4 linked regions of the Diceros bicornis minor genome follow. The protein of the gene in region 2 purifies or fractionates together with the protein of the main gene of each other region. This does not show direct contact. Links are inferred from orthologs where the notes say so. Each region holds a gene or a part of one and is shown on either strand. Other genes may lie near its edges.

Region 1 (7,983 bases), on a different chromosome or scaffold from region 2:
AAGAGAAGAAAAGGAAGAGGCAGAGGGTGATGGACTACTTTGCAAAAAAACAATCTGTTTTTCTAGGCGGAACTTCCATTTTCTGCTTTATACACCCTGTGTTATTTGACTTTGTTGCAATGAACACGTCTAACTTAGCAATTTTAAAAGCCCAGTAAAAATATAAAAATACACAAATGAATAAATGAACGAAACGTAATGTGAAAGTCTGGCCTGGGGAAAGGAAAAGAAACATTTACGGAACAGTGCTTTCAAACACGAGCTCATTTAGTCCTTTTGATACGGCGAAAAGGGTCTCTTGATCCTCATCTTAAAAATGGAGAAACCAAACGCCCTAAGAGGTGAAGAACTTTGCCCCAATTCACCAGCTGATAAGGGATAGAGCCCATGACATTTCTGCTACAGCCTGTTCCCATCTGCCAACTAAGAAAAAGGGGCAGAAACTAGGGACAATGACTCCAAGAACTTTGTTTTCAAGCCTTTGTAAATACTACTCAGTGTCTGTCATCTTGCTCTTTCTTGTTTTTCTCCAGTGATTCACAGTTAATATCTTCAAATAAAAAAGGGTCTTTGTGTTTTCAGAGGCAGAAGGAAAAGCTTGCTGGGGTAGCCAGTCTTGGGGACAGAGGGTGCTCCAGCGCACAATAGGAAGAGGGAAGCAGAAAGGAAAGAGAGCAGGCAGAGTCCTGGGTCCACTCAGACCCTCAGACCCGGTGCTACGTGGGACTCCTCCCAGGGGCCTTAGTGCAGCAGGGGCTTCCTGGCAGGCCTTGCCTTGCAGGGTTGTTAAGTTTTTTCAATCCCAAGTGACAGGCTTCCTTCTCTCCCAGCTTGCCAGCCTTTGCAGCCTGAGCCTCTTGGTGCTGTGAAATAGCACGATAGTCCTTTCGCCTTCCCTCCACCAGCTCTACCTCTGCCCCAGCCTCCTTTCTTCACTTACAGTGGAGGCCCAGGTGTCCAGATGTGGTCTTGCTTGGTCCTTGCTGACCCACCTCAGCCTCCTTTCTTCCCCCATAATCCCCTACTGATTTTCTCCCTCTGCAGGAAAGGAAAGGGAAAGAACAAAAGGCTGTAGCTGAAGCTGGATGGAGAGACATAATGGAGCTAAGGAAAGTTGAGTGTCCTCTAAAACTCTGGGCCTCATCATTTCCATCATCATCATGGTTACTGATCACGTTTACTGAGCTATTACCACGGGCCAGGCATCCTCTCTCTCAGCACGCAAGAATGTCCCAGAGTCCCAGGTCACACAGGCAATCTGTGGCCATGCCAGCCCTGCAGTGTGCCTCCAGAGCTGTGCCTGAACCCCCATGGTGGGGCATCCTGCCTCCCATGGTCCTGTCCCAAAGGAGGACAATTTGTCCTATGGCCATGGGAGCCTTGAAGCCCACCCAATTAATACAAGCTTCCTCACCTTTGCTGCTCCGGCATTTGACTCCCTGTCAGAGGCACATCCTTTTATTGGCCTGGATTCGCTGACATGATGTTTTCATCCCTGCTTCAGGCTCAGTGAAGTGTCTGTCCCAGGTAGGAATCATGACACCAGGTCCTCATGTCCCCACTTGCTGGGATGATCTGAGTTGGGAGTTGAAAGGCACCATCCCAGCTAACCCCATGCCTGCTCCGTCCCTTTGTGGAGGGATGACTGCCCCTTCCCTCTTGCGACACTTGAATGGCATGGATGTATCTGCAAATATCCTGCTCAGGGTTATTGTCCACTTACAGGCAGGCAGTGAACAGGCCACTGTATGTACTGATGATGGCCCAGGTTTCACCCTGAAAAGGTGTCCCACTGCTCCCAACCAGGCTCTCGCACCCCAGGGTCCATGGCATCCGCTGAGGGACTCTGCCCAGAGTGGGGCCATGGCAGGCCTCAGCCTCTGAACTCCACCAGCAGACAGGCAGCTTCTCTGCCAGCAGCTCCCCATCTTGGAGACCCAGAGGTTGAAAAGGGCTAGGAATCCAGCCTGGGAGGATCCCAGACTAGAGAGAAGAGCAGGAGATCCCAGGTTACTAATTCGGGACCTTGTTCATCATCTGATCCTCAATGTCAGTGCAACGCTGGGTACAGAAAAGGGGGCCATAAACCTTCAAGGCTGTCTCTCTGCACAGGACCAGATGGAGTGGGCTCAGTCACAGAGGCGTAGATGTGCTGCCACAGGGCCTAAACCTGGAAAGAACCCATCAGGTCCAAGGATCTCTGAATGGAGTGCTTTGAGATGCTGAGGTACCAGATCCTTCTGAGAAGGACCTTCCCAAACCCCTTACTTGCAAATGGAGGCAACTTAGGTGAGTAAGGGCCTCTCCACCCAGAGGCAGAGAAACAGGTCTGCTCCCCAAAGAAGACGGCCTTCTCATTTGCAGTCACTGTCTGCCATTCGCACAGCCTGGCTCACAGCAGCCACACACACATCCAGGCTTCCCCACTCTTCATATTAATAGACCTCCAACTCCATGTTGCCCCCAGCACTCTGTGGGAGAGGTTTTTCAACTCTGCTGACCTGGAAAGGTTAAATGCTCTAACCAGGGATGCAAGCCTGGGCCTCCAATGCCTCCTCCAACACTCTCCACGTCATACTGCATTCACCTTTCACTGAGGGATTCTTGTCTCCTCCGCTAGATTGAAGGCCCTGGGAGGGCAAAGAGGAATCTCATTTCTTTACTTCGTTGATTGTCCTCTATTTACCTCATCACAGATGTGAATGTAATCACAGATGGGTATAATTAAATGAACTTCAGCAGAGACTGATTTTTCCTACCAGACCCTCATCACCCCTCCCACTTTTAACCCAAGTATCTTAAAAGCTTATCTTTTCCTTCCCTTTGCGGGCTTCTGTCTTTGGACTCAGTGCACATGTAGAGAGCTTCTGAGTAGAGACAGTCTGAAAAGGGCAAAATAAAAATAGCCAGTGGGTCGATAATGGAATGGGAAAGTCTCTAAGTACAGTGGGGGAGGGCACTCATCCTAAAGCCAGCTGGAAAGAGATGGGGGGGGGGTGGGCAGAAGCCTCCTGCGGAGCCGGGCTTGCTTTGAGGCAATGCAGGTGGCTCATCTGGTGGGTGGAGGTGGGAGGGAACAGTCGCTCAAAGGTTCTGCTTTCTGCTTTTGTTCTGTCTGGGCCAGTGCCCACCCTGAAGCTCCTGTTCCCTACAAAACTAGCTGGCTGGACCCTCACTGTGGAATATGAAGTGAGGCCCCTACGTGCAAGGGACTGCTTTCGGCTGGGCTAGTATGCAGAGCCCTCTAACCCTGCTAACAGTGCTTCATTACATCAGGCCTCTGCCACCACGCCTCCTCCCATAACAGTATATGATTGTTCCTCTCTGTTTAGACTCTTTCCGGCTGGTATTGATTGTTGCTTTTATTGGCAAACAGCATACCAAATAAAAATAAACACAAGTGTTTGTGCAGAGGGAGATTAAAGGGGATTCTCTGTCTCCAGGGCTGGGAAAAAACTTGCTCCGAGACCCAGTGGTCAACGTGGTCCCTGAGTCTTCCCTCAGCGCACCTCTGCAATTATGCTAGGGATGTTTGTTTGTCTCCTTCCCCCTACAGGGCCGGCAGCTGCGGGCTTCCCCACACACCCTGAGTTTTTGGCACTTAATTCATAGTAATTCATAGCTGCCAACTGACACCGCGGTAGGGCCGTCCAGGAAGCAGTCATCTCAGGGCTAGGCTGGGGCCGCGCCTCTCGGCTTGTTTCCACATGCGGCTGCCCCAGATGGCCAGTCACCCCCACAATTTGGGGTTAGGGGTTTGGTCCCGGAAGGGCAGGCAACAGCAACAACAACAACAACAACAACAACAGCTACATAGCCAAAGAACATTTAGAGTTGTCCTGTCGTGTTTAACACCTAGGCCACAGGCTTAGTGAAGTGGTGCTGTGGTACAATTCTTACTCTCATTTTACAGATGTAGAAACTGGGGCTGAGAGACCCTCGAACTTGCCTTCCCAAAGTCACACAAGCCTGCCCCTAAGATGACGATCTCTAAGGACCCCAATCTCTAAGGACCCTGATGTGTGCCTAGACTCAATTTCTTCATCTGTAATATGGAAATAATAACACTACCTCTTAGAGTTGTTCAGAGGATTAAATATTATGTATGTGTTTGTTTTGCCTGTTTTCTTCTCTAGACTGTAAACTCGGGCGGGTAGGGACTTTGGCTTATTCACTGCTATATTGTCAAAGTCGGGAACAAGTGCCTAGCACACAGAAGCTCAATATTTGTGTCCTAAATGGAAACGACATGAGATAAGCCAGGCCAGACCCTGGCCCTTCTATCTGCAGGTACATTGTACATCCTCAGTTCCCAGATTGGGGCTGGGAAAAGCCACTGCTGGCCTTGGGACAAGGCCAGCAAAACCCCCAGGAGTGCGGAGGCCAGAAAAGTCTTCAAGGCGCTGGCTGCAATGCCGGTGGACTTGCAGGCCTCCCGCAGGCCTCAGCCCTCAGGTTCCTCTTTTCTTTTCTTATATCAGGAAAAGCATTTTCCTCGCCGAATCACAACGTGGTGTGGCTTCTGAGGTTCCTGCAGAGAAGGGCCAGCCGCCCCGAGCTGCAGACTTCTGCGGAAGGGGAACGGGCAGAGCACGCCAGGCCCGGCCAGGCTGCGGACGAGGGACGGCGCGGCCCCGAGAGCGAGTCCGGGCGCAGGAGAGCGCGACTCGCGCGGAAAGGCGGGCGAGGAACGCGCGCGAAGAAGAGGGCGGGGCGGGCGCCCGCCGGCGGCTCCCGCGCTCCGGCGCCGCTCCACCTTAAGCGCCGGACCGCCTTAAGGGCGGGCGCTGGAGCCGCGCGCCGGGGGCGGGGCCTCCCATGCAAATGAGGGGCGTGGGTTGGCGGGGCGGGGCGGGCGGGGCGCTGACCTGACGTCAGGCCCGCGGCCCGGGCAGTTGGCTCGGCGGCGGCGCAGCGGCAGGAGCGGCGGCGCGAGCGGGGCTGCGCGGCGGGGCGCGGGGAGCGGCGGCGGCCGAGCCGGAGCAACATGGCGCCGGTGGGCGGGGGCGGGCGCCCGGGCGGCGGGCCGGCCCGAGGGCGCCTCCTCCTGGCGGCGCTGGTGCTGCTGGTGCTGCTGTGGGCGCGGGGGGCCCGGGGCCAGGGCGACCCCCAGCGAGGCGCGATCCTGGGCATGAGGCTGGCGAGCTGCAACAAATCGTGCGGCATGGACCGGGATGGCATCATCTTCGTGTCCGAGGGCAGCACGGTGAACCTAAGGCTGTACGGCCAGAGGCTGGGCTCTATCTCCAGCAACCTCATCTCCTTCACCGAGGTGGACAACTCCGAGGCCGTCCACAACTCCACCAGCTGCCCCGAGCTCACCAAGGACCTGGTCGTCCAGCAGCTGGTCAACGTGAGCCGCGGGAACACGTCGGGGATGCTGGTGGTGCTCACTAAGTTCCTTCGGAGAAGCGAGAACATGAAGCTGTATGCACTGTGCACTCGGGCCGGGGTGGACGGGCCCTGGCAGAGGTGGACGGATAAGGACTCGCTGCTCTTTATGGTGGAGGAGGCTGGGAAGTTCCTGCCCCTCTGGCTGCACATCCTCCTCATTATGGTGCTGCTAGTGCTGTCGGGCATATTTTCTGGCCTCAACCTGGGGCTTATGGCCCTGGACCCCATGGAGCTGCGCATCGTGCAGAACTGTGGCACGCAGAAGGAGAGGCGCTATGCCCGCAAGATCGAGCCCATCCGGCGCAAGGGCAACTACTTGCTCTGCTCGCTGCTCCTGGGAAACGTGCTGGTCAACACCTCCCTCACGATCATTCTAGACAACCTCATCGGGTCTGGACTCATGGCCGTGGCCTCCTCTACCATTGGCATTGTCATCTTTGGGGAGATCGTACCTCAGTCCCTGTGCTCCCGACACGGGCTGGCTGTGGGTGCCAACACCCTCATTCTCACCAAATTCTTCATGCTACTCACCTTCCCCCTCAGTTACCCCATCAGCAAGCTGCTGGACTTTTTTCTGGGCCAGGAGATTGGCACCGTTTACAATCGGGAGAAACTGATGGAGATGTTGAAAGTGACAGAGCCCTATAATGACCTCGTGAAAGAGGAGCTAAATATGATCCAGGGCGCCCTGGAACTACGGACCAAAACTGTGGAGGATATCATGACCCAGCTCCAAGACTGCTTCATGATCCGCAGTGATGCCATCCTCGACTTCAACACGATGTCAGAGATTATGGAAAGCGGCTATACCCGCATCCCTGTGTTTGAAGATGAGCAATCCAATATTGTAGATATTCTCTATGTCAAAGACTTGGCCTTCGTGGACCCGGATGACTGCACTCCCCTCAAGACCATCACCCGCTTCTATAATCACCCAGTGCACTTTGTCTTCCATGACACCAAGTTGGATGCCATGCTGGAGGAGTTCAAGAAGGGTAAGGCCTGAGGCAGTTCTCCTGGTTAACTTTTGTCACCCCTCTCGTACTCTTGCCAGTTTTGTGTCTGCTGCTCATAGTGTTCCTTTCGTGTGACCTTGTGTACCTTTGCCCATCACCTCTTGTGCCTCTGAGGTGAACGGTATTTGGGACAGCAAAAACAGTTCTTAAGCGTCTGCTGTCTGCCAGGTACCGTGCTTTGTGCTTCAGGTGAATCAAAGCTGAGTGACACACCTGCCCACTTGGAGGGATAGAGTAAGGCCTCATGGAGCTGTTGAAGCGAGACAGAGTAAGGCAACAGCAACTAGAAGGATGTGCAACTACGGCAAACAACTATCTACTGGGGCTTTGGGCGGCGGAGGGGGGGGGGGCGAGGAGGAGGAGGATTGGCAATAGATGTTAGCTCAGAGCCAGTCTTCCTCAGCCAAAAAAAAACAGGAGGATTAGCATGGATGTTAGCTCAGGGCTGATCTTCCTCACACACACACACACACAAAAAGACAGAGTAAGGCAAATGCCCAACACCAGGGCATGGAGATTAGAGCCCAGAGGGGCGCATGTGACTGGGGTGGGGAAGGAGCTGGGGAACTGGGAGAACCTTCACAGGGGAGGGAGCATTTGAGGACAGACTTAAAAGATGGGGAGACTTGGTACCTGAGGCAGAGGGAACCCCATGAGCCGAGAACCTGAGCAGGGGAGCAAAGGATGTGCTTGTTGCCCAGCAGGTGGTCCTGTTCAGCTGAGGATAGGCTCTGCTGATCTTTGTCAGTGAGGGAGAGGCTGAGTCATTAGCGGCCTTGTGAAGAGTCTGAAAGGATGGTAAGTTTGCTTGGAGCTTGGAGCTATGGAAGGTTTCTGAGCAGGGGATTGCCGTCACTGGAGCTTCTAGCCCACAGAAGCTGAATTGGGAGGTCTCTAGTTGGCTCCCCACTCAGAACAATGCCAAGTAATGCTTTGACTATTCAGCAGAAGCAAGCAGATTAAGTTTTGGTTATTGTTCTGTCTTTCCCAGGCGCCAAACATAAGCTTCTCTCCTGCGGTCTGCTGGAATCTTCAGCTGGCCTTGCATGGCCTTGTGTTTTTTTCTCACATGGCTTCTTGGCCAGTTCTCAGGTAGTTAGAGAGGCGCTCGGAGGGTTTGAGGGAGCCTCAAAGCTCAGGGCACACACCCCTTTCCTTACTTCCAACAAAACTTTCCTCCCACCTCTGCCCCTCTGAAGCCCTCGGCGTGGCAGTAAACAAGCCAATTATAGAGTAAAACCCTCCTAGGCCAAGAGGAATGAGGAGGCAGAAAGGGAAACTCTTTATAAAGGAATGGGGTGCAGGGGTGCTCATCCTAGACCCTGAGACTTTGCTTCATTTCCCATAGGTAGAGCTCCTGCTGGCTAAGACCTAGGTCAGCCTGGGAGCAAGCCCCAGACCCTTGTCAGTTGTTTCTAGAACAGTGGGTGCAGGAGAGCCTGAAACTAGCTGGGTCAGTGGGTGATGGAGTGGGCTAGGGAGGAGCTGGCTGGCCTTGGCAGATTTGGTCTGAAAAGATGCCAGGATGGGGAGTTGGTACCCTGCCTTTTTCAGTTTCACAGACTGAATCTCA
Region 2 (7,690 bases):
AGTGGGACAACAGCACTGAAAATGAATAAAAAGGAAGCTTTAGCTTTGACGCAGAAAATTACATCAGTCCTTGACAAAACCGAAGACTCCTAATTTTCAAAGCGCTTCCTTTCAGCAGTGCCTAACCTTTCATTACCTGTGACAACACATCAAGTGAGCAACAGTACAAAGGATGCATGTGATTTCGAAACGCCACAGTTGACTGCAGCTGCCCGTCGGTAGCACGGAGGCGTGACCAGAAAGGACTGTAGGCAGCTAGGGCTTATCCGCATCTCGGGACTCGCTCCCGTCTTCTGCGGGATCAGTCTGCGGAGAGAAGGTTCTCCCCGCCTGGAAGGGCCCCCGGCGACAGGCGCCCACGTGTCCGAGCCTCGGGCCGGGCATTCCAGGTGTTGAGTCACCAGTACGGCGGTCATGCGACATAAGCACTGATGACGGAGATGGCAGGGGCGCAGGTGCCAAGGTAAACCGCTGGCAAAGGTGACTGAGGTGCAGTGAAGGCAGGCGAGCGGCGTCCGGGCTGAGACGCGGCCCCAGCCCTGCAGGGACTGCATTTAAGTTGGAGGCAAACTTCAAGCCTCCCCATGTGACATGTGCGCACTCGCCGCTGGTTTTAACTCTGAGAACCGGGCTGTGCGGCGTGATTCCTCCCACCCACAGACCGGACTCTCCCCCGCTCCCACCCGCGCCGCAGCCCAGGCCCCGTCCGCCCCGCGTAGCTCCCCGGCCCCCGCCCGCCCCCGGCCGGGCCACGCGCCCACCCCGCGCTCCGCCATTCATCAACCGGTTCACACCGGCGGCGGCCGCCGCGCGCTGACGTCCGCAGGGGGCGGGGCTCCGCCCCCGCCCGTCGGCGCCCGGCCCGGGGCCCGGCCGCGATTGGTGGCCGGCGGGGCGCACGTCGCGCCGGCTATAAAAGGGCGGGCCTGTGACGCAAGGGCGCCTCGGCGCGCGCATTGGCTGCCCCGCCCGCAGGCCGGCTCGGGACGCGCTCTCCGCGGAGCCGCTCGCTGCATGGTAGAGTCTGGTGCCCCCGCCGCCGCCCGCCGAGCCGCCGCCGCCCCGCGACCATCGCCGCCGCCTGCCCTGCCGCCGCCGCCGCCCCCGCCGCCTGCGTCGCCGCCGCCTCGGGACCGGCTGTATGATTAGGCCACAATCTTCAATGAGTAAACATATCGCTGTGAGTATCCGCCGCGCCGCCGCCGCTCGGCCGGGCCCCCGGCCCGCCGGCGCCTTTGTTCGGAGCCCGGCGTCCGCTCCCGCCGCCCCGGCCGCGGTTCCGGGGGCCGCGGTTCCGGGGGCCGGGCGCGGGCCGCGGGAGGCGGTTGGCCGCGGGGCACCGGCCCGAGCCCCGCGAGCCGGGGCGGCGGGCGGGGGCGGTGTGGGCCGCCGCAGCGGCCGGGCGGGGCGCACAAAAGCCGCTTTGTGACCGGCGCCCCCGCCCCCGGCCCGGTCTGGGCGCGCGGGCGGGCCCGGCGGCCCGGGGCCCCTTTGTCTGGCCGGCGGAGCGGCCGCCGGGCGCGGAGACGTGGCCCGGGGTGGGGCGCGGGCTGCGCGTGTGGCTGCGGCCGGAGCCGGCGGGCGCCCCCGGCCCGGGCCGGCGAGGGTGGGCGGGGCGCCCGGCGCGCGGTGACGGTCTCGGCCGGGGCAGCCTGCCCCGTGCTCCGCGGCCCGGCCGGCGCTCCGACAAGATGGCCTCGGCGCCGGCGCCCGGCTGGAGGCGGCCGACCCCGTGATTGCGGGGCGCCGCGGGCGGCTCCCTGCGCCACCGCCGCGGGGCCCGGCGCGGACTCGGCCAGGTGAGGACGCCGGCGCCGAGCCCCGCCCTGCCCCAGGGTCCCCACCTGGTAGTGCGAGCTGTCCCGCATTGGACGCCCCACTTGGGGCTCCGGGGAACGGGGACAAGTCGAGTCTTGTCCCTGCCCTGGGGCGCGTCGGTGGGGAAGTGGCCCGGGTCTGAGCGCCTGGGGAGCTGCCAGGGCTGCTGTCGCGCTGGAGCCAGGCGTCCCGGCCGGGCACTCCCTGCCAAGCTGCGACTGGCCCCGGATGGCGCCTTGTAATCGGGGGCTGTCGAGATCTGCTGCTGAAATCCTTCGCGTGCTGTGTCGTTGCCTCCTGTTGGCGGTGGCAACAGTAGCCGCCCGGAGCCAGCGGGCTGAGGTTTGTCTTCTGTCCGTGGTGGGAGCCTCGACCGTTCCAGGAGTATTAAGTTGTTACTTGCGCTGCAGTTGGAACCGTCGGCCTGCTTGGGATCCAGATTCTGAGGCAATGCTTCCTGTTACTCTTTATGTGAATTTTGTTGGGTGGCGGTAAATCAGTTGAAAGCCAGAAAGCTAGATCTTTCCCAGGAGTAAGCGGCATTTTGCACACGCTTTAATATCCATGCGTTTCCTAAGGTGTAAGTGGATGGGGAACAGAGTCTCCGGCCAGCTATGGGACAGAGCGGTTACAGGTTCATTGCCTTGACTCTGCAGTGTGACGGACTGACTGAAGCTTTGCACAGAAGTTGCTCTTCTCCCCCCGTGTACGTTACTGTGATTATATGCAACTGATAAGTGGGAGGCGAAGAAATTCCTTGGTACTTCCAAACTGCCTCTGATGGATAGTTTTTCCTCGGGTGAGGACATGAGACTGGGAGAATGTCTTGGGTCGAACAGGAAGGTGGTTGGTATTAGTGGTCACTGCTACTTCGGTGGAAGTCCCCCCCAGCCGCTGGGTGGCTCCACTCAGTAAGACTAGCCAGTTCACTAAGTGAATTATTTCTGTATTGCTTTTTCTACTTCCTGGTGAAACCTGAAGGGATATGGCCAGACTCAGCTGCAACAGGAATTTTAGCTGTTAAATAGGCTTGAAATTCTCTCTCTTTTGTAAATCGGCTTTCAGTTGAAAAAAGATATTACCTGGAAATCAGAATACTGAGATAAGAGTCATTGCCTTTAACTGCTTTACAAATGACTTCCTTAATTCATTGTATGTCTTTGGAAAGGTGCCAGAATACACTTTTTATTCTAAGGAAGTAATATTTAGGATTTGAGGTGACAATATAATTGAAATTATTTCCAGATTACTGCAGTCTCTATTCACGGTAATCGGGAAGTTCTTGATGGTAGTTTAGTCACTCGTTTTTAACCCAGCTAGCAAGTAGATGAAGTAACAACCTCTGAGTGCTTATTTGAACAAATTTGGGGGCTCATTTGAACAAATTTGGGATAACGAAAGTTTTCTTCTCTGTGGGATGACGTTTTAAGAAATGACTCCTGCCGCTAGTTACTTTATTTTGACAGAAAAATGAACTGGGTTTTTGACTTGATGTTTTCTGTGATCTGCTAGATCTCTGCGTGAATTATTCTTCAAAATTTAGCCAAGTTCTTTTAGAAACTACTACCAGCATGGAACTCTATTTAAAGGTGTAAAATGAAAATAGGAGAAGATACTTTGAATTTAGTTTATTCGGTGATTTACCGCTGAGAATACATACCCGGAAAGTGTTAGGGGCGGCAGCTGGCGCTCGCTGCGTCTTGTTAACCTGCTGCTAATATTTCTTAGTCCTCTCTATTCCCAAGTACACAAGCTTCTTAGAAACTCTTTGGAAGATTAACATTAACGTCGATGTTTTGTGTACCTATTCTGAGAATATCTATGAATATTCAGTTAATGTTTGATATTCGCAAAAAATTAGTTCTCTTAAGGGGAGCTTGGGAAAAATACAAATACTATTTATTTGTTGGTGGTAGTAGTTACCTTGCTTTTGAGACCTGTGGACGGTGCAGGGTGACTTCCACCACCCTACCACCTCCTCCCTTTGCCCTTTGAATTAGAGTCCAGTTTTAGGCTGGATAAGTGAAATTTTGGTTTTAAAATACAAAAGAATATTACTCATTATGAATATCTTTTATAGTTATAAATGAGAATTTTTTTAATTTATAAACATATATCCTTGTAATACTTCACATAACAAGTTGACTAACTTCTAGAGACTCAAATGAGGAAAATCTGTTAAAAGGGAATGATAAATTAATAGGTTGTTAAGGATCAGATGAGGTAGTGTATATGGAAGCATTTTGAAAGCTAGTTTCTTTTTTTTCTCTTAAGAATATACTGGTTAAGCCTTTAAAGGAGTAAGTAAATTATGCAAGGACTAACAGCTGGAAAGTATTCATGAAGTTTGTGATGTGTAAAAATATTTTATTAGCTGGAAAAATCAATATAGAAAGTTGTACATATAGTTTAGAACAATGTAAAGCAGACAACCATTAAAAAGAATAATTAATAGAAGGATCTGTAGAAGGGATATTGACCAAATGTAACAGTGGTATTCTTTAAGGGGTCTTTGTAGTGGATCAGTAATTTCAATTTAAAGCAGTCTATTTGTGAATGCTTGCTTTATGCTTATTGATTTAATCTGTAATCACCCTTGTGTTTTGTGGTTCAGTAAAAGTTGAAAAGGTGGCTTGGGCCCAAATTTCAAAAGGTAGTTGTGCACTTAAGTACTATAAATGCCTAACATATTCCTTTTGAATTGGAAAACAACTTTTTTTGTCTCTCTCTCTCTCTTTTAAACAGCAGTTCTGTGGTGTTCTTGGTCACACATTTATGGAGTTTCTGAAGGGCAGTGGAGATTACTGCCAGGCACAGCACGACCTCTATGCAGACAAGTGAACTGTAGAAATTCATTACTACTCCACCAAGAAGCCCCCATAAGAGTGGTTAACCTGGACACAGTGTGGAATTGAAATCCACAGAGCATTTGACAAGACTTCTGACCTGGATGGGGTAAACCTCAGTGCACTTCCTTTCTGTTGCCTCAGTATTACTGGATTGAAGAATTGCTGCTTCTTGTTAGGAGGTTCATTTCATTTCCCATTACTCCCAGCTCCATACTCAAAGCACTGAGAATTTCGAGTGGAGTATATTGAAGTAGACTCAGTTTCTTTGCATCATTTCTGTATTCAGTTTTTTTAATTCTTTCATAACCCTGTTGAGTGTTTTTAAACTAAATTAACATGGCTCGAATGAACCGCCCAGCTCCTGTGGAAGTCACATACAAGAACATGAGATTTCTCATTACACACAATCCAACCAACGCAACCCTAAACAAGTTTATAGAGGTAAGATTTGATACTTTTTAATGTCTTAAACTGATTGCAGTTTAATAGTGGGGCTTTTTATCTACCAAAATAAATATTATTTTGGAAAATTTGAGATGATATGCCTACAGTTCTAAGTCCCAGAAATGAAATGTCAGTGTCTTTCTGTTAGAGGTGAATTGATGTATACATTTCAACAAGGACATGTGCTTGAGTTAGTTTGGATTTGTAAGTTAGTATCTAGTTCTTCAGGCCTCAAAATTTGCTTAATTTAAATTTATATGTGGACACTATAACAGTATGGCTCTCCCTTACCTTATAAGCCATATATAGGAGGAAGGCTGCTGGTTATGGATTGTTCCTATATCCGCTTAGCCTGATGACTAATACTGTAAACCGGAGTTAGTTTATGTCTTGACCCCATTTGATACTTAGAATCAAATTTTTAGCCATTAGCTCTGCTTCTTGCTGATGGTTGCTAGATGAACTCTTTCACTACCTACCTCTGTGACTACAAGGAAGGAATGTAATGCTAAGAAATTTATTTGAATGCATACACATTTTATTATATAAATATCTACAGATGCTCAGAGACAACAATTAGGTCTTCCAGATCATAGAAATACTTTTATTTTTGATTACCATCTGTATGTTTTTTAAATGCTGGAAGTCGTAATTAGTAATAATCCATTCTGAGTCTTAAAAGCCTGTAGTTGGAAATGGTGTGGGGTTTTTTACACTGTTTTCGGGATTTTAGAGTCTTTGAATATACTTTTAAGGCTTTGAATTACACACTGTGCTGCCAATGAGCAAAAAGTTTAAGGAGTTAGTATAATTGAGTCAAGTCACGTGATTTATAGTTGTTAGTGATTCCTTTGTTCTGTTTACCTTCATCCCTGCATTACTTCTAATCCTCCTTTATTAGTGCTTCATCTCTGTCTAACCAGTATTACCATGACTGTAAACAATTTTAGTATGTGAAGGGCCACAGGATTTAAAACAAAAACAAAACTTCTGATTTATTAAAATATACGTGATGTTTAACATTCCCTTTGTGCTATTCTAGTATTGTCATTTAAAACACGATTTCCCTTCCCTGTTAAACATACATAAGTTATACCATTTATTCCATGATTTTCTGTTAACCAGCAATACCTGTTGGAGAGATGATCAAAATGACGAATGGTGACCAGTAGTGGTGTGGTTATGAAGACCTCATTAAGTGTTTTTTTATGTGTGTTTTATCCAGGAACTTAAGAAGTATGGAGTTACCACAATAGTAAGAGTTTGTGAAGCAACTTATGACACTACTCTCGTGGAGAAAGAAGGCATCCATGTTCTCGTAAGTATTTAATAGTTTCTATGTGTTTATGATACTGTGCTACAAAAGTTTATTTAAATAAACCACTGACTTCAAAAAGCTTAATTTAGGGCCGGCCCCGTGGCTTAGCGGTTAAGTGCGCCGTGCTCTGCTGCTGGCGGCCCGGGTTCGGATCTCGGGCGCGCACCGATGCACCGCTTCTCCAGCCATTCTGAGGCCACGTCCCACATGCAGCAACTAGAAGGATGTGCAGCTGTGACATACAACTATCTACTGGGGCTTTGGGGGAAAAAAAATAAATACATAAAATTAAAGGGGGGGGGATTTAAATATTTTTAAAAAAAAGCTTAATTTAAGTTGTTACAAAATTATGCAGTATCTTAATTTCCAAATAAAGTGAAAGCTAAGCAAAGGTTTGAAGTAATAGATCTTTTTAAAGATTCAGCATTTATTTGCATTTCATTGACAGTGGGGTTTTGTAAAACACGGTTACATATGTTAAAATGCTTTTGAAAACAGTTGGGTGTTAGCAATTTAGAATTATTAGTGTGATGTTTATATTAAAAATCTGAAATGCTTAAATATTCTTTTGACTTAGGATTGGCCTTTTGATGATGGTGCACCACCGTCCAACCAGATTGTTGATGACTGGTTAAGTCTTGTGAAAATTAAGTTTCGTGAAGAACCTGGTTGTTGTATCGCTGTTCATTGTGTTGCAGGCCTTGGGAGGTAAGAGAATCTCTTAAATCCATTTAATGGTGTTGGTCTTAATTCCAGTAAAAACTTGACTTTGACTCTAGTAAAGACTCAGTTATCACTTTGTGAATCAGTTTGCTTTGTTAGGTTACATACTGAACTAAATTAAAAAGTAGGTGAATGTAACAGAATAATGTATTCCAATACAGCTGGAACTAACAAATGCTATAGCTGCAATTTACACTTGTCTCTGTGGGCAAAATTACTTATAGAATTAATCATGTGTGCTAGGTTGTGTCGGTATTGGAACCATTGTCCAAGCTCATTGGGAAAAGGGATTGTGAATCTAAAGTGGTCTGCATTGCATATGCTGTACTTCTGATGTAGGGTTTTGATCCTAGAGATTCTGATTCGGTAGGAATGTATTACCCAGTTCTGCCAAAATATGCATGTTGATATTTGTAAATCACTACCACCACCCTCCACCCCCACCCAAAAAAAGTTCTAGTGGAGAAGAGTGAAATGAAAATCAATGGCCCCAGGGGTATTGACATGCAACTGTGTCGCAGTCTCATTAATGATAAAA
Region 3 (7,442 bases), on a different chromosome or scaffold from region 2:
GCCTTTTCATAGCCCATGAACTGAAAATGATTAACTCAATCCTCTGTGCCTGTGGTAAAACCAACAAATAAACAACAATAACAATAGAGGGTGAGGGGAAGGAAGGAAAAAGGAAAAACATGTTTATAAATAGTTTTAATGAGGGAAAATACTTATGCCATAATGACGAATGAGAGGAAACAGAATAATACAATAGTAGGAACATTACAAGTGCAACTATGTAAAATAATGTATGTAAATGGACAAAAGTATGGACAAAGCTATAGGCAGTGTAGTGTAAAATCTTGACCACCAAGGTACTTAATCTCTCTGTAGCTTAGCTTCCTCATGTAAAGTGGAAATAATCATAATAATACCCACCTCCAAAAGTTCTTATGAGAATTAAATGTGTTAATTTATGCCTGATATCTAGTAAACGTTATGTAAGTGTTACTTGGTATTATTATTTTCCTAATTTTTTATACTGTAGACTCTGGACTCAGAGTCTGTCCAACCAACTGGGCCCCACTCCCCGTTAATGACGTGGCTTTCACAGTTACCCAATTAGAGCCTCAGTTTTCTCACCTATTGTGAGGATTAGAAAGGATAATGTACTCAGCACATAGTAAGCACTCAATAAATGTTAATGGATTATATTATCAGAATATTATTATTACATTGTCATAGTTTTAAAAGTAGTACAAAAAGGAATAGAAGGCACAAAATACATTTTTCATAGTCTTCCTAGTGTATAAATTCTTCCATTTTCATTAAATTTCATTTTTGGGTATAGTCTTCCCACACCTTCCTCTCTAGATGGGCCCCCAGATTATATACTTGCATGGCACTTTGAACATCTCCTTCATAGGAGTAATTAATTAATTAGGTAGGTAAGCAGTCTCTGGTTCATGTCTGTCATCCTCAGTAGACTCTCAGCTCCATCATGGCAAGGATGGTATCTGTTTATGCACAATGTCTAGCACAGGGCCTGGCACCGTGTTGACTAACAAGAATTTATTGAATGAATGAACAAGTAATGAAATAAGCAAAAGCATTTAACATGTATATTATGAAATAGCATAGTCATGAGATTAAAGGCAAGTATCATTTCCTCCACCTCTCTAGGAAGTGAGGAATTGCCCATCTTGGAAACTAGGAAGTGCTTATATTGTAAACTAGAAAGGTAGTCAACATTTAGATTCTGGGGAGCTATTTTTGGCAGCTCTTCCTTATTAGAATCACACTGCCTGAACCTGTCCCCAGGAATCCTTTCACTTAGAATAGAGCTCTGGAAACTCAGTACTTTTGCAGAATCTCTTATTCAGTAAAGGAAAAGTACTTAGTCTTTCTAGATTATCTTTCCCCAGTGTACATTAGCCCTTACTCACGGACTCATAAAAGGGTTGGGACCTTAAAATTCTCTTTTATTTCACAGATGAGAAAATGGGCCCAGAAAAGTAGATTGACTTTCCTAAGCCTAACACTTGTTAATAATAGAGCTGGTGCAAACAGAAATGAGATCATTCTTACAGTTCTCTCTCTCTCAATATAATATAATATAATGTAATATAATATAATATAGTGTAATATAATATATATATATCCAATAATGTAATAGTATCATTCACTAAAAATTACATTTATGGGGCTGGCCCTGTGGCCTAGTGGTTAAGTTCAGCATGCACTTCAGCGGCCTAGGTTTGGTTCCTGGGTGCTGACTTATACCACTCATCGGTGGCCATGCTATGGCAGCAACCTACATACAAAATAGAAGACTGGCACAGATGTTAGCTCAGGGTGAAACTTCCTCAAGCAAAAAGAGGAAGATTGGCAACAGATGTTAGCTCAGGGCAAATCTTCCTCAGCAAAAAGAAAAAAATTATGTTTATGAAAGTTTTTTTTATTACATTAGGAAAAATGCTCTTCATATGTTAAGTGACAGAAGCAGACCAGAATTGTATGTATAATATGTATTCAATTATAGAATACAGAAATATATGAGGGCATACATATGTGTGTGTATTTCTCAGTAATCTATGTAGAAAATAAAAAAGCGTGTCAAAATATTAACAGTGTTTATCTCTGGTTGGTGGGGATATAGTTTATTTTTATTTATGCTTTTCTGCAATAAATTTTATTTTCAATGAGCATGTAATACTTTATAATCAGAACTTTAGGTTTTTTAATTCCTGATCTAACGTTTTTGAAAAGTTTTATTTTGGTACTGGTCAGCACTGTGGTGTGAGGGAGCATCAACCTAGAATCCAAATCAGTTGCACCAGTCATTTAACCTGATCTATAAAATGAGTATAATTAAATCTACTTCACAGGGCCATTGTGCACGTGAAATAATAAATATGAAATTCCTTTGCAACTCTAAAGCTTGATAAAGGTGTTAGGTGGTATTATGTGGATGATAAAGGCCCGTGATCTAAAAGAGGTGGGAGAGCCCTTAGGATAACAGCTTTGTGCTGAGGAGCTTATGTTGGCAGAGGAGAGAGATCTAAGTGTCAGGAGAAAAGTGAGAGATTTTTTGCCAACACTTACCAGAAACAATCACATGCCTTACCCCACTTCTCCCCTGTATATCCCCTGTACTTCCAATAAACGCCTCAATGTGCCCTCTTCAGATGAAATCTTCTGTCTGTCTCTTAAGCAGCCTAGGCAAGAGGCAGCTTGTAGTGGACAGGATCTAGTGTATTTTAAGGCGATGGCAGGTTTGTTTCCCATTGCCTGCAGAGTGTGAAAGGCAGCCTATGTAGGAATGTGACCAGCAGCCTACTAAGGCCTTTCTAATCCCCAACCAGAAAGAGGCTCTTTCCACTCCGGATGATAAAAGTTTGTTGTGAAAAGAAGGTAACTTTTAGCTGGACCATTTGTATTGAGCTTTATTCTTTGCAGGGCTTTCTTTATCTTTGGGGTCTCACAAATTCTATGGAAAATAAGATTTCACACACAGCAATTATTTTTAAATTAGAAGTGCCAAAGTAGTATGCCAAATTATTGTTACTTTTATATTTTAAAAAGTAATACAGACCTATGGTAAATTTACCCAAGAGAAATGAAAACGTACGTTCACACAAAATCCTGCACATGAATGTTTATAGCTGCTTTATTCATAATTGCCAAAAACTGGAAATAACTCAAATGTTCTTTAACCAGTAAACAGATAATCAAACTGTGATACAGCCCATATAATGGAATATTATCCAGCCATAAAAAGGAATGAACTATTGATAAACACTACGACATGGATGACTCTCAAATGCATTACGCTAACAAGGTAAGGGAAGCCAGATACAAAAGGCTACACATTGTATTATTCCATTTACATGACATTCTGGAAAAGGAAGACTATAGCGGAGAACAAATTAGTAGTTGCCGGAGGATGAGGTGGGGGAGGGGTTGACCACAGAGACAGTAAGAGGGAATATTGGGGGGTAATGGCAGTATTCTTGATTGTGATGGTTACATGAATATGCATTTGTCAAAACTCATAGAACAGCACACCAAAAAGTGAATTTTACTATAAAAATTTTCAATAAATGCATGAAAGTAAAAATAAGGTAATACAGGCCCACGGTAAATTCAAACAATGCAAGGAATTCAATCAAAAGTTTCCCTGCTAGATCTTTGTAATGATAGAATAATTCTGTATTTTGATTGCAGTGATGGTTACATAAATCTACACGTGCGATAAAATGACATAGAACCATACTCACACATCATACCAATTTCAATTTCCTGCAATTTATATTCTACTCTAGTTAAGATGTACCCATTGGGGGAAACTGGGTGGGTGACGGGTACTGGGATCTCTGTATTATCTTTGTAACTTCTTGTTCATCTCTCTCTCCCTATATTTTAAAGTATCTTTCAACCAAACTTCCAGACTCTAGTCCTGCTCAGGAGGGGAACACTATTACAAATTTCTTGTGTATCCTCTGTATGTTAAATCTAATATTTTATATATGTATACATGTACATATAAATTTATACATGAATACTTTTAGCACAAATAGTAGCATATTATATACATCCTTCTGCACCTTGTTATTTTTCAACTATTACTTTGGAGATTTTTCCATATCACAAACACATGGATACACTCATTCTTTTTTTCTGGCTGCATAGTATTCCATTGCACAATGGTATTACATTCGAATCTTAACAAGGAATTGAATTTAAGTAATTTGGAAATTTTTGAAACATGAAAGGTCAGTTGGAGTTGAGACCAAACATAAAGTTTTCACAGATTCAAGACTTGCCTCCAGAATACCCTTTGACCAGAAGGGGGAACGCAAAAGGCAGGACAAGAGGCGAAATGCTGGGAAATTGCCTCGGCCAATGGGGAAGCGGTGGGCCGGCAGGGAATTACCGCCGGGTAGGAGTCTGCGGAGGGGCGCTCTACTGCTGGAGTGGAGGCCATGCTCCAAACCAAGCTTTCCCAGCTGCATCTCAGATACACCGAAGTGTGTTAGGGTTATGCAGTGATGCGTGAAGAGCTCCAGCCTCCAGCGGGGACCACCTGCCCAAGCAGGGTCTGAACCTTCACCGCCTCCAGCCCACGCGCGCAGGGGGCGTACACGTGCTGACCTGCCCCAGGCCAGTTCCCGGCCCCGGCTCCTCCTCCCTCCAGCTCTTGCTCCGCTTTCTGCAGTATCACGTGCAGCCGCGCCGGGTGCAGGATGGCGGCGGCGGCGGCGCCAGCAGCGGTGGGTGTCAGGCTCCGGCACTGCTGCAGCCGAGGCGCTGTGCTCCTGCTCTTCTTCTCCCTGTCTCCTCGGCCCCCAGCCGCCGCCGCTTGGCTGCTGGGCCTTCGGCCCGAGGACACCGCTGGAGGCCGCGTGTCCCTGGAGGGGGGCACCCTGCGCGCGGCCGAAGGCACCAGCTTTCTCCTGCGCGTCTATTTCCAGCCCGGGCCCGCGGCGCCTGCTCCTCTGGTGCCCGCACCCACCCTTTCCCCGGGGGAGAACGGCACCGGCGACTGGGCTCCGCGGCTCGTGTTTATCGAGGAGCCCCCGGGCGGGAGTGGCCTGCTGCCCAGCGCTGTCCCCACGCGCTCCCCGGGGCCGCAGCGCTGCCGCGAGCAGAGCGACTGGGCGTCGGACGTGGAGGTCCTGGGGCCCCTGCGCCCCGGAGGCGTAGCAGGCTCTGCTCTAGTCCAGGTGCGGGTGCGGGAGCTGCGCAAGGGCGAGGCAGAGCGGGGCGGCGCGGACGGTGGCGGGAAGCTCTTCTCGCTGTGCGCCTGGGACGGGCGCACCTGGCACCACCACGGCGCCGCCGGCGGCTTCCTGCTGCGCGTCCGCCCGCGGCTGTATGGCCCGGGCGGGGACCTGCTGCCCCCCGCGTGGCTGCGGGCGCTCGGGGCGCTCCTGCTGCTGGCCCTGTCCGCACTGTTCAGCGGCCTGCGCCTGAGCCTGCTCTCGCTGGACCCGGTGGAGTTACGGGTCCTGCGGAACAGCGGCTCAGCCGCCGAGCAGGAGCAGGCGCGCCGCGTGCAGGCCGTGCGCGGCAGGGGGACCCATCTGCTTTGCACCTTGCTCCTGGGCCAAGCCGGAGCCAACGCGGCCCTGGCCGGCTGGCTGTATGCCTCGTTGCCGCCGGGCGTCGGGGGTCCGGAGGAAGACTACGGTGAGGCGGGGATTCACTTCCCGTGGCTGCCGGCGCTCGTGTGCACCGGCGCCGTGTTCCTGGGCGCCGAGATCTGCCCCTACTCGGTGTGCTCGCGGCACGGGCTGGCCATTGCCTCGCACAGCGTGTGCCTGACCCGGCTCCTGATGGCGGCCGCCTTCCCTGTGTGCTACCCACTGAGCCGCCTGCTGGACTGGGCGCTGCGCCAGGAAATAAGCACCTTCTACACGCGGGAGAAGCTGCTTGAGACGCTGCGGGCTGCGGACCCCTACAGCGACCTGGTGAAGGAAGAGCTCAACATCATCCAAGGCGCCCTGGAGCTTCGCACCAAGGTGGTGGAGGAGGTGCTGACCCCCCTCGGGGACTGCTTCATGCTGCGCTCCGACGCCGTGCTCGACTTCGCCACCGTCTCCGAGATCCTGCGCAGCGGCTACACTCGCATCCCCGTGTACGAGGGCGACCAGCGGCACAACATTGTGGACATTCTGTTTGTCAAGGACTTGGCCTTCGTGGACCCTGACGACTGCACCCCGCTTCTCACCGTCACCCGCTTCTACAACCGGCCCCTGCACTGCGTCTTCAATGATACCAGGCTGGATACGGTGCTGGAGGAGTTTAAGAAGGGTGAGCAGTGGTCTATCTCCTCCCTCAACTCCTACCCCCTTCAAAAGTATTGCCCTTTCATAAACATGTGAGGCTTCAGTACCCAAAGCAACTTCTCTGCTACGGTACCAAAAACTCAAGGAAGGCCCATCTCATGGCTCCCTGGCTCTTTTTATTTCACTTCTCCCTACCTTTTTTGCAGCTGCCTGAGCCCCTGGACTCTTCCTCTTTACTTGGCTCACAAGATGTGCCTCACTCCCGGTTCCTCATTCATTCTATTCCAGTATTTTTTCAGGGCCTAACAGTTGCCGGGTATTGTGCAGGTTGAACTCAGGGGATAGCCCTTGGATGGGATTGCATGGCTCCCTATTACAGGAAGAACCTCTGCAGGTTCCCATAACAAGCAGCCTTTGCTTTAAACTCCTACCTGGGTGGGAAGCTCACCATTTCCAGGGCAAACTGACTCCATTGCTGGACAGCTCCAGCTGCTGACAATGTCTTTCTTACATGAAGCAGAAATTTACCTCTCCAGAATGTCTCTCTTGGTCCTAGTTCTGGCCTTTGGATCACGTAGATTCAGCCCCAGACACTTTAGGCATTCTCCCCTCATACTGAGTTTTCCATCAGCTATTCATTACACCAAGTACCCAGGTTGGAGATTAAAAGTTGAGTAGGACAGTGAGGTCCTTGTACTTCTGGGAACTGTGGTCCCACGAGGTAGGGTAGATCTGGACCTGAGGAAATATTCTGGTATAGGGACCCGTTAGAAAACTTGCATATCCAAATTAATGGGGTTTCCTTCAAAGCAGTCACCATCCCCCCCCTTGATGTCATGCCTATAACACATTTACTACATGTCTAGAGTTTCCCTTTAGAAACTGGCTTCTGGGGTTGAGTACAATTCACTCCAGAAAAATTGGCCTGGATATTTTAGAGTTGATTACAGGTGGCATTACACATGTGACTGATCACCCTAGTTAGCCAGAGCTGACACTGGAAGACCTTTGGTTGTTTTTGAAAATCAGATCTACCTTCAAGAGTCACCATTGAGAGCATTCAGAAGACTAACTCACAGACCCTGAAAGCAATTCCAGAAATGATTTGAGAACAGTAGAACTTTCCAGAATGACTATTTTGAAGGAGGTATTCATCTGTATATATGAGATGGCATGTTTATTAAAAACAAAACAAAACAAACATCAATCCCCCGACTTTAGAATCTGGCT
Region 4 (6,936 bases), on a different chromosome or scaffold from region 2:
CCTCCCAGTGCAATTTGTCACTTCCTATTCCAACCTCTGGTTCCTGGGCTGAGCCGTGCCCTGAAGCTGGCCCTCCTTGCGCGTCTTCCTGTGTAAGGGAGACCTTCGCAAATGGCCTCCAAATGGGTAGGCAAGTCACAGCCACCGTAGCAAATAACTCGTATTTATTTTGCATAAGATTTTAATTTGTATATTTTTGTGATTTATTTTGGCATTGTTATGAGTTTGACTCTCGGGGAGTTTTGTTGTTATGACTCTTGTGTCTTTTGTCACAAAACAATGATAATATTTGCTAAACAATATATGGAATTTATTTTTGATTGGTAATAAAAAATGAGATACGAAATCTTGGTGAGTCTGCCATTTGACTGTTCGAGTTCTGTCAATACTCAGTGCCTGTCATAGAGATGGAAGTGGCTATGGTTGGCTGTCACCTGTGACAGGGCAAGAGACAGGTATTCTGGGACTGTTTAACAGTGAAAAGGAAGCAGAAATGTTATTTACAAAATTATATAATCAAGGCTGTTGTCACAGGAGCTAGAGCGTTCCAGCTGCTATGAGACATACAGGGCAAACGTGCTCAACTGCCACAGTCAGGAATCCTGTAAAATGGATGTCATGGGGTCTTCTGCCCGCAGGAACTGGAGGGAGCAGTTGGCATGGGCAAATTCCTCTCTCTCCCCCTGGGGGCTGGAGGAGAAAGGAGCTTGATCCGAAAGTGTGATCACGTTTTATAACATGCAGTTGCCTTTAAGGTCCGTACTCATGGGCAGGCTGTGGTGTCAAAGTGGGAGCACTCCTCCCCTGAAGAGCCGCCCGAGAGCGACCTCACTGCTTCCACTCTGAGGTTTCAGCTGTGCAGACTCCTGCGCTGCCCACAGGTGCCGTGGCCACGGGCTCAGGCAAGCCAGGTTTAACAGAGCAGGCAGATTGGGGGGAATGTTTACAGAAAGGGAGGTGCTTGTATAGGCAGAGAGAGGACATTCCAGACAAAAGGAATAACTCACGCAGAAGCTTGTGTATAGGTGGGCAAGAGTCAGTTTCATCCATCTACCTGTTCCACGGCTATACTCGAGCTGCCCCCAACCCCTCAATAAGCCCAGTGAGGAAGACCCCTCTGAGGGAGTCACGCAAGGACCTTTCGATTTGCTGTCTCCTACACCTGGAACACTCCTCCCAGGTCTTGGTGAGCCTCACCCCTTCACTTCATCTAAGCCTCTGATCAAATGTCACCTCCTTGGAGAAGCCTTCCCTGGTCACCCCATCTAAAACAGCATGGCCCTAATCCCTCTGTCTGTCCCCATATCTTGCCTTGTTTTTCTCCATAGCACTTATTGCCAGATATTAAAACACAGATTTATGTATTTTCTGTTGTCCCCACACTAGAACCTAAGCTTCAGGAGGGGGGGGACTTCCTTATTCCCACGTAGTCCCAGCGCTAGAACAGTACCTGGTACATGGCAGGCACTCAATGCAGGAAATAGTTGTTGAATGAATGAGTGAATGGGTCTTACAATAAGGTAAGTACTGAATACTATTGGGGAGGAGCACATAGCTCCCATAACCTGGACGCAACCTAGGCAAGATGGTCGAGGGAGACCAGCTAGAGGAAGTAACGTTTGCAGACTTGATAAGCAGGAATGGGCCAGTGAAGTCACACACAATAGTTATGGGTTTAAAACTCAAGAATAGGGGCCGGCTCCGTGGCTTGGCGGTTGGGTGCGCGCGCTCCGCTGCTGGCGGCCCGGGTTCGGAACCCCGGGCGCATGCCGACGCGCCGCTTCTCCGGCCATGCTGGGGCCGCGTCCCACGTGCAGCGGCTGGAGGGATGTGCAGCTATGACATGCAACTATCTGCTGGGCTTTGGGGGGGCGGGACTCAAGAATAAATATTTAGATAAAACATGGAAATGTCTTGAACCAAATGACCAGTACTGAAAATGGCCCAGGGAGGGTCAACGAGGGACCTGAAGGTCAAGTGGCAAGTGTCTCCATTGATGTTGTGACTATCCAGGGGATGGGGCAAAGAGTGGCACAGAGCCAAGGAAGAAGGCTGGTGAAGTACTGTTGAGGCCTCTATTGTTGGAAAGTCACTCTGCACGCAGCTTGGTTTGCCCTGTACTGGACTCTTTGTCCTTGAGTACAGACAGTTTAATGACCATTTGTGTTTTCCAAATGTGACCCAATTGTTCTTCTACTCCAAGCTTTTCCCCCAAAAACAAGGTATAGGTTGTTTTCCAAGGGAGCCTGAGACCAAGGAAAACATAACTTGGCAAAGGTCAGAGCCCTGTCTAAATCCATAGGGAGTTTTCCTGTCTTTCCTCTGGAATTGTTCTTGGCTAGTTAGTAACTTTTCAGGCACATGACTCCTTTCAAGCCTGTGATCCATTCTATCTCAATGTCAGCATTTTATCTAGATTTGGAGACACAAGTGAGAACTAAAGGGGCTGAATCCGTTATTTTTTTCTTCAAAGGAGACATGCTGATCCAGTGGAAAGGCTCAGTGGTGTCATAACTGCTTCTGCTGATGGCTTATTCTGTAATCTGCAAGTTAAGGCACACTACTCAAAGGGTGTAGCACCGTCTGGGGTATAAAAACTGGAAACATGGAGATGTGGCTGGTCTAGTCACCGTGCTGAGTTTACAGTGTAGAAGAGACACTATTGCCATCCTTTTAAGAGTTTTTCACAAGAAATTTTTTCTTTTGGTCATTCACCATGGGTTTATTCATTTTGGCACATTACCTTCCACACAAACATTTTCCTTGTGGCCACAGTACCTATAGTCTTTTATATTATTTTCATGACATAGCAAATGTGTTTCTATAGAATCCTTACACAGATCGTTGTAAATGATGTGTATGAAGTCTTACCAAGGTCTACTTATGTTAGGAAATTTGAAAATACATAAAAATGTAAAGAAAATACAAAAATAGTTAATCTGGACACCCATAGAGAAGCCTTGTTAGCAGTCTGTCTATTTCCTTCCAGCCACATAAAGATCATATATAATGGGTAAAAGACATTCCACACTGTCAACGGACCATATTGTCTTCTAAAATAACTCTCCGATGAGGAGTCTCTTGAATAGTTCTTCGTGGTCCTGTGGAGTTATTTTCCCAAGGATGATCTGCTAGAAGTGGAGCGACCAGACACAGTAATTCCTGACAGAGCTGCCGTCTCCTAATGGGGCTGGGATGGTGACGAGGGTATTAGGTCGCGTTGTAATCCAGCATCCATGCCGAGTCATGCTTCACCTTTTCTCCCGTAAAATATTAATAACACGAAGTTGCTGCGAGGATCCAATGATGTCGTGATTTCGCACGTTTACATATTCACCATCCTCCCCGGCAGGAACGCAGGTTCCTTGAAGGCAGGGGCGGTGTCTCACGTCCCCAGGTCCCCAGACCTACAGCAGAGTGGGGCACGGTCAACAAGCATCTTCAATAATCCTTAGCTTCCCGACGCCCAGTCACCGGTCCTTCTTCCAGCCCTCCCTGCTCTTTAGGTCAGTGGTTCAAGGGGCCCTGCCCTAAGAAAACAGAGTGTCTCCCGGACACTGGAATCTTTCTGCAAGCCGCTCCGCTCGGCGCCCGCAGTCCCCAGCCAGGGACTTCCCAGAGCACGAGCCCGGCCGCCGGCGCGCGGGGACGGCCCGCGGGGACCAGACGCCCGCGGAGGCGGCCCAGCTCGCCGCTCTGCGTCCTCTTGTCCGAGGCCACCTCTGGCCCCAGCAGCCGCGGCCGAGCCCCGCGGGGCCGAGAGCCCCACGCCCCCGGCGCGCCCCGGGATCGCGCCGCCGCTTGTTTACTCCCCGGCGCAGCCTAGTCCGACCCTGGGGCCCGCCCCCGCCAGCCGCCTATTGGCGGAGGAGGCGCCCAGGCTGGCGACGATTGGCCGGGGGAGGCGGCGGGGTAGGCTGCACGGGAGGCCGAGAGGGGGCAGCAGGCGATGGCGGCGGCGGCGGCGGCGGGTCGGCTAGGCTGGTTGCTCGCTGCGTTCTGCCTGGGCAACGCCGCCGGGGAGGCGGCGTCGGGCCCGCGAGTGCTGGGTGTCTGTCTGGAGGAGGACAGGGCCGCGGGCGCGGGGTGGGCGAGCGGAGGGGAGGTGCGGGCCGCGCCGGAGGCCACCTTCCGCTTGCGCCTCTTCGGCTCGGGCTTCGCCAACAGCTCCTGGTCCTGGGTGGCCCCCGAGGGGGCGGGCTGCCCCGAGGGCGGGCCGGCCTTGGCGCCCGAGGCGGCGGCCCCCACGGGCGAGTGGCGCGCGCTGCTGCGTCTGCGCGCCGAGCTCGTGCGCCCGCGCTCGGCGCTGCCGCCTGTGCGTGGGGAGCCGGGCGGCGCGGCGGCCGAGGAGGCGGCGGCCCCCACGGGCGAGGGGCGCGCGCTGCTGCGCCTGCGCGCCGAGGCCGTGCGCCCGCACTCGGCGCTGCTGGCCGTGCGTGCGGAGCCGGGCGGGGCGGCGGCCGAGGAGGCGGCGCCGCCCTGGGCGCTGGGCCTGGGGGCGGCGGGGCTGCTGGCGCTGGCGGCGCTGGCGCGGGGCTTGCAGCTGAGCGCGCTGGCGCTGGCACCGGCCGAGGTGCAGGTGCTGCGCGAGAGCGGCTCGGAGGCGGAGCGTGTGGCGGCGCGGCGCCTGGAGCCCGTGCGGCGCTGGGCCGGCTGCGCCCTGGGCGCGCTGCTGCTGCTGGCCAGCCTGGCGCAGGCGGCGCTGGCGGTGCTGCTGTACCGCGCGGCCGGCCAGCGCGCCCTGCCCGCCGTGCTGGGCAGCGCGGGGCTCGTGTTCCTGGTGGGCGAGGTGGTGCCGGCCGCCGTGAGCGGGCGCTGGGCGTTGGCGCTGGCGCCGCGCGCGCTGGTCCTCAGCCGCCTGGCCGTGCTGCTCACTCTGCCCGTGGCGCTACCCGTGGGGCAGCTGCTGGAGCTGGCGGCGCGGCCCGGGCGGCTGCGTGAGCGCGTGCTGGAGCTGGCGCGCGGCGGCGGAGACCCCTACAGCGATCTCAGCAAGGGCGTGCTGCGCTGCCGGACGGTGGAGGACGTGCTCACGCCGCTCGAGGACTGCTTCATGCTGGACGCCAGCGCCGTGCTGGACTTCGGCGTGCTGGCCAGCATCATGCAGAGCGGCTACACGCGCATCCCCGTGTACGAGGAGGAGCGCTCCAACATCGTGGACATGCTCTACCTCAAGGACTTGGCCTTCGTGGACCCCGAAGACTGCACGCCGCTCAGCACCATCACCCGCTTCTACAATCACCCACTCCACTTCGTCTTCAACGACACCAAGCTGGACGCCGTCCTGGAGGAGTTCAAGCGAGGTAACGTCCGGGAAATCGCGGAGGGGACTCGAATGCCAGCGGCCTCCCCTACAAAAGGAGTGGGAGTTTATGGAAGCCTCGAGGAAGGGGTTCCATCCCTCTGGAGGGCAGTGAGATCTCTAAGTGCTCTTTTAAAGAAGAGGATGGCCTTGAAGCTCAATGATTTTTTGTAATATATAAAAGGCTGTCTTTCAGAGAGTGACAGTGCTACGGAGAGCAAAATCCCCCTTTTCCTGGTCGGCCCCCAGTTTGGGGAGGTGTGTTCACTTGGCTCTGACCCCCAGCTATTTCCCTTTCCCAGGTCATTTTTGTGGGCTTTGTCTTTGTAGCAGGTTGACACTCTTGGGTGGAAACTAAAAGAACATAGAAAAGAGTACAGTCTGCACATATCTGGACGCAATTACCTGCACACATATGGTATCAAATTAGCTGGGCTGGTGATGTTTCCAGGGTATCGTTGTTAAGGTCACTGAAGGGCTGCTGCCTTCCTGAGTACAGAAAAGGGAATGACTCATAAATGCTTTTCTGCAGGTGTGGAAGAAACTTCCATTTTGATTTCACCAAAAGCAACTTCGTTGATGTGGATATAGTCTCCCCTTCCTTTGTCTTCTTTTCTTTCTTTCTCTTTTTATTAACTTTCTCTTTTCTAATCCTGAGTAAGGGCTCTCAAATTCCCCCTTAATTCCACTTTTTCACCCTCTCCTTTCATCTTGGTCTATCTAAATAGTTCTAAGGTTGCAGGTAAAAACTGACACCCACCCTCCCGGTGTGGAGGTGTGAGTTCCTCTGCAGTGCTCTCCATTGTCAGGCTTGGGTGTGCTCTCCAGATCCTGGCTGCTCCTTGGTGGCCAGCCCTGCTTCTCACATCTGAACTCCTGCAGGATGGGCATGGGGGACATCCCAGGACTCTGGGTGGGCCTGACCCTAAAGGCTGCATAATGTGAGGCCAGGAAGTGAGCAGAACCCTCTGATCTTTCTGGCAGCTGCGATGTCTCCTGGCCCCAGGTGGGCTTGGGAGGTGCTCTCTGAGCCCCTGGACAGTCAGGGCAGGGAGGCAAGGCTTTGTGGTAATGACCCCATTACTCCTGCTGTCACACTGCTGTATGCCAGCCACTTGTAGGTGTTCTCACACATCATCTCCTGTAATCCTTGCAGGAGACTTGGGTGTTAATAGGCTGTTACTGTTATTACTGTGCCTTCAGATGGGGTGGGAGACTTTGATGGGCAGTTCTGATTTTTCTGTTAGAGAATATCTTGGGTGCTTCTGGCAGTTTCCTGAGAAAGTGGCCATGCAGCCCCTCTCTGGGCAGGGGAGCCTGGAGTGGGGGCCAGACAGCCTCTGGTGGTAAGTACTCCATCTGGGCCACTGCAGTTTCCGAGGCAGTGGTGGTTCTTGTGGCCTGGTGGCCAGCAGTGCTGGCCCTGGAGTCAACTGGGGAGGGTTCCGTCCCGCCCCTGCCACCTCCCATCTTGAGACCCTGGAGGGGTGGACTTGATCGCCAGGGCCGTGACTGTGAGCAGAGTACGGCACCGTCTGAGTGGTTTTCACAGGTCACTGACGGGTGAGGAGACCAGAGTAGGGAGACCAGTGTTTAGGGGGGTCCAGATGAGAGATGATGGTAGGCTGAACGAG

The links.
Region 1: the proteins of PTP4A1 (region 2) and CNNM4 purify together in Homo sapiens (affinity purification with mass spectrometry; 6 studies listed by BioGRID and IntAct, with this or other methods). This does not show direct contact. The link is inferred for Diceros bicornis minor from reciprocal best matches to the Homo sapiens genes PTP4A1 and CNNM4.
Region 3: the proteins of PTP4A1 (region 2) and CNNM1 purify together in Homo sapiens (affinity purification with mass spectrometry; 4 studies listed by BioGRID and IntAct, with this or other methods). This does not show direct contact. The link is inferred for Diceros bicornis minor from reciprocal best matches to the Homo sapiens genes PTP4A1 and CNNM1.
Region 4: the proteins of PTP4A1 (region 2) and CNNM3 purify together in Homo sapiens (affinity purification with mass spectrometry; 6 studies listed by BioGRID and IntAct, with this or other methods). This does not show direct contact. The link is inferred for Diceros bicornis minor from reciprocal best matches to the Homo sapiens genes PTP4A1 and CNNM3.

The regions. Positions count from the first base shown.
Region 1 is NC_080779.1:15,849,106-15,857,088, reverse strand, and holds the start of CNNM4 (metal transporter CNNM4), read left to right. Parts: upstream 1-4,972; 5' UTR 4,973-4,987; coding exon 4,988-6,389; intron 6,390-7,983. UniProt on the Homo sapiens protein: Probable metal transporter. The interaction with the metal ion chaperone COX11 suggests that it may play a role in sensory neuron functions. May play a role in biomineralization and retinal function.
Region 2 is NC_080753.1:7,766,426-7,774,115, reverse strand, and holds the start of PTP4A1 (protein tyrosine phosphatase type IVA 1), read left to right. Parts: upstream 1-4,675; 5' UTR 4,676-5,003; coding exon 5,004-5,108; intron 5,109-6,336; coding exon 6,337-6,429; intron 6,430-7,006; coding exon 7,007-7,137; intron 7,138-7,690. Other genes in the region: uncharacterized LOC128125822 homolog, read left to right, coding at 1,142-1,180, 4,564-4,659. UniProt on the Homo sapiens protein: Protein tyrosine phosphatase which stimulates progression from G1 into S phase during mitosis. May play a role in the development and maintenance of differentiating epithelial tissues.
Region 3 is NC_080745.1:64,801,959-64,809,400, forward strand, and holds the start of CNNM1 (metal transporter CNNM1), read left to right. Parts: upstream 1-4,432; 5' UTR 4,433-4,667; coding exon 4,668-6,237; intron 6,238-7,442. UniProt on the Homo sapiens protein: Probable metal transporter.
Region 4 is NC_080779.1:15,808,356-15,815,291, reverse strand, and holds the start of CNNM3 (metal transporter CNNM3), read left to right. Parts: upstream 1-3,924; 5' UTR 3,925-3,949; coding exon 3,950-5,303; intron 5,304-6,936. UniProt on the Homo sapiens protein: Probable metal transporter.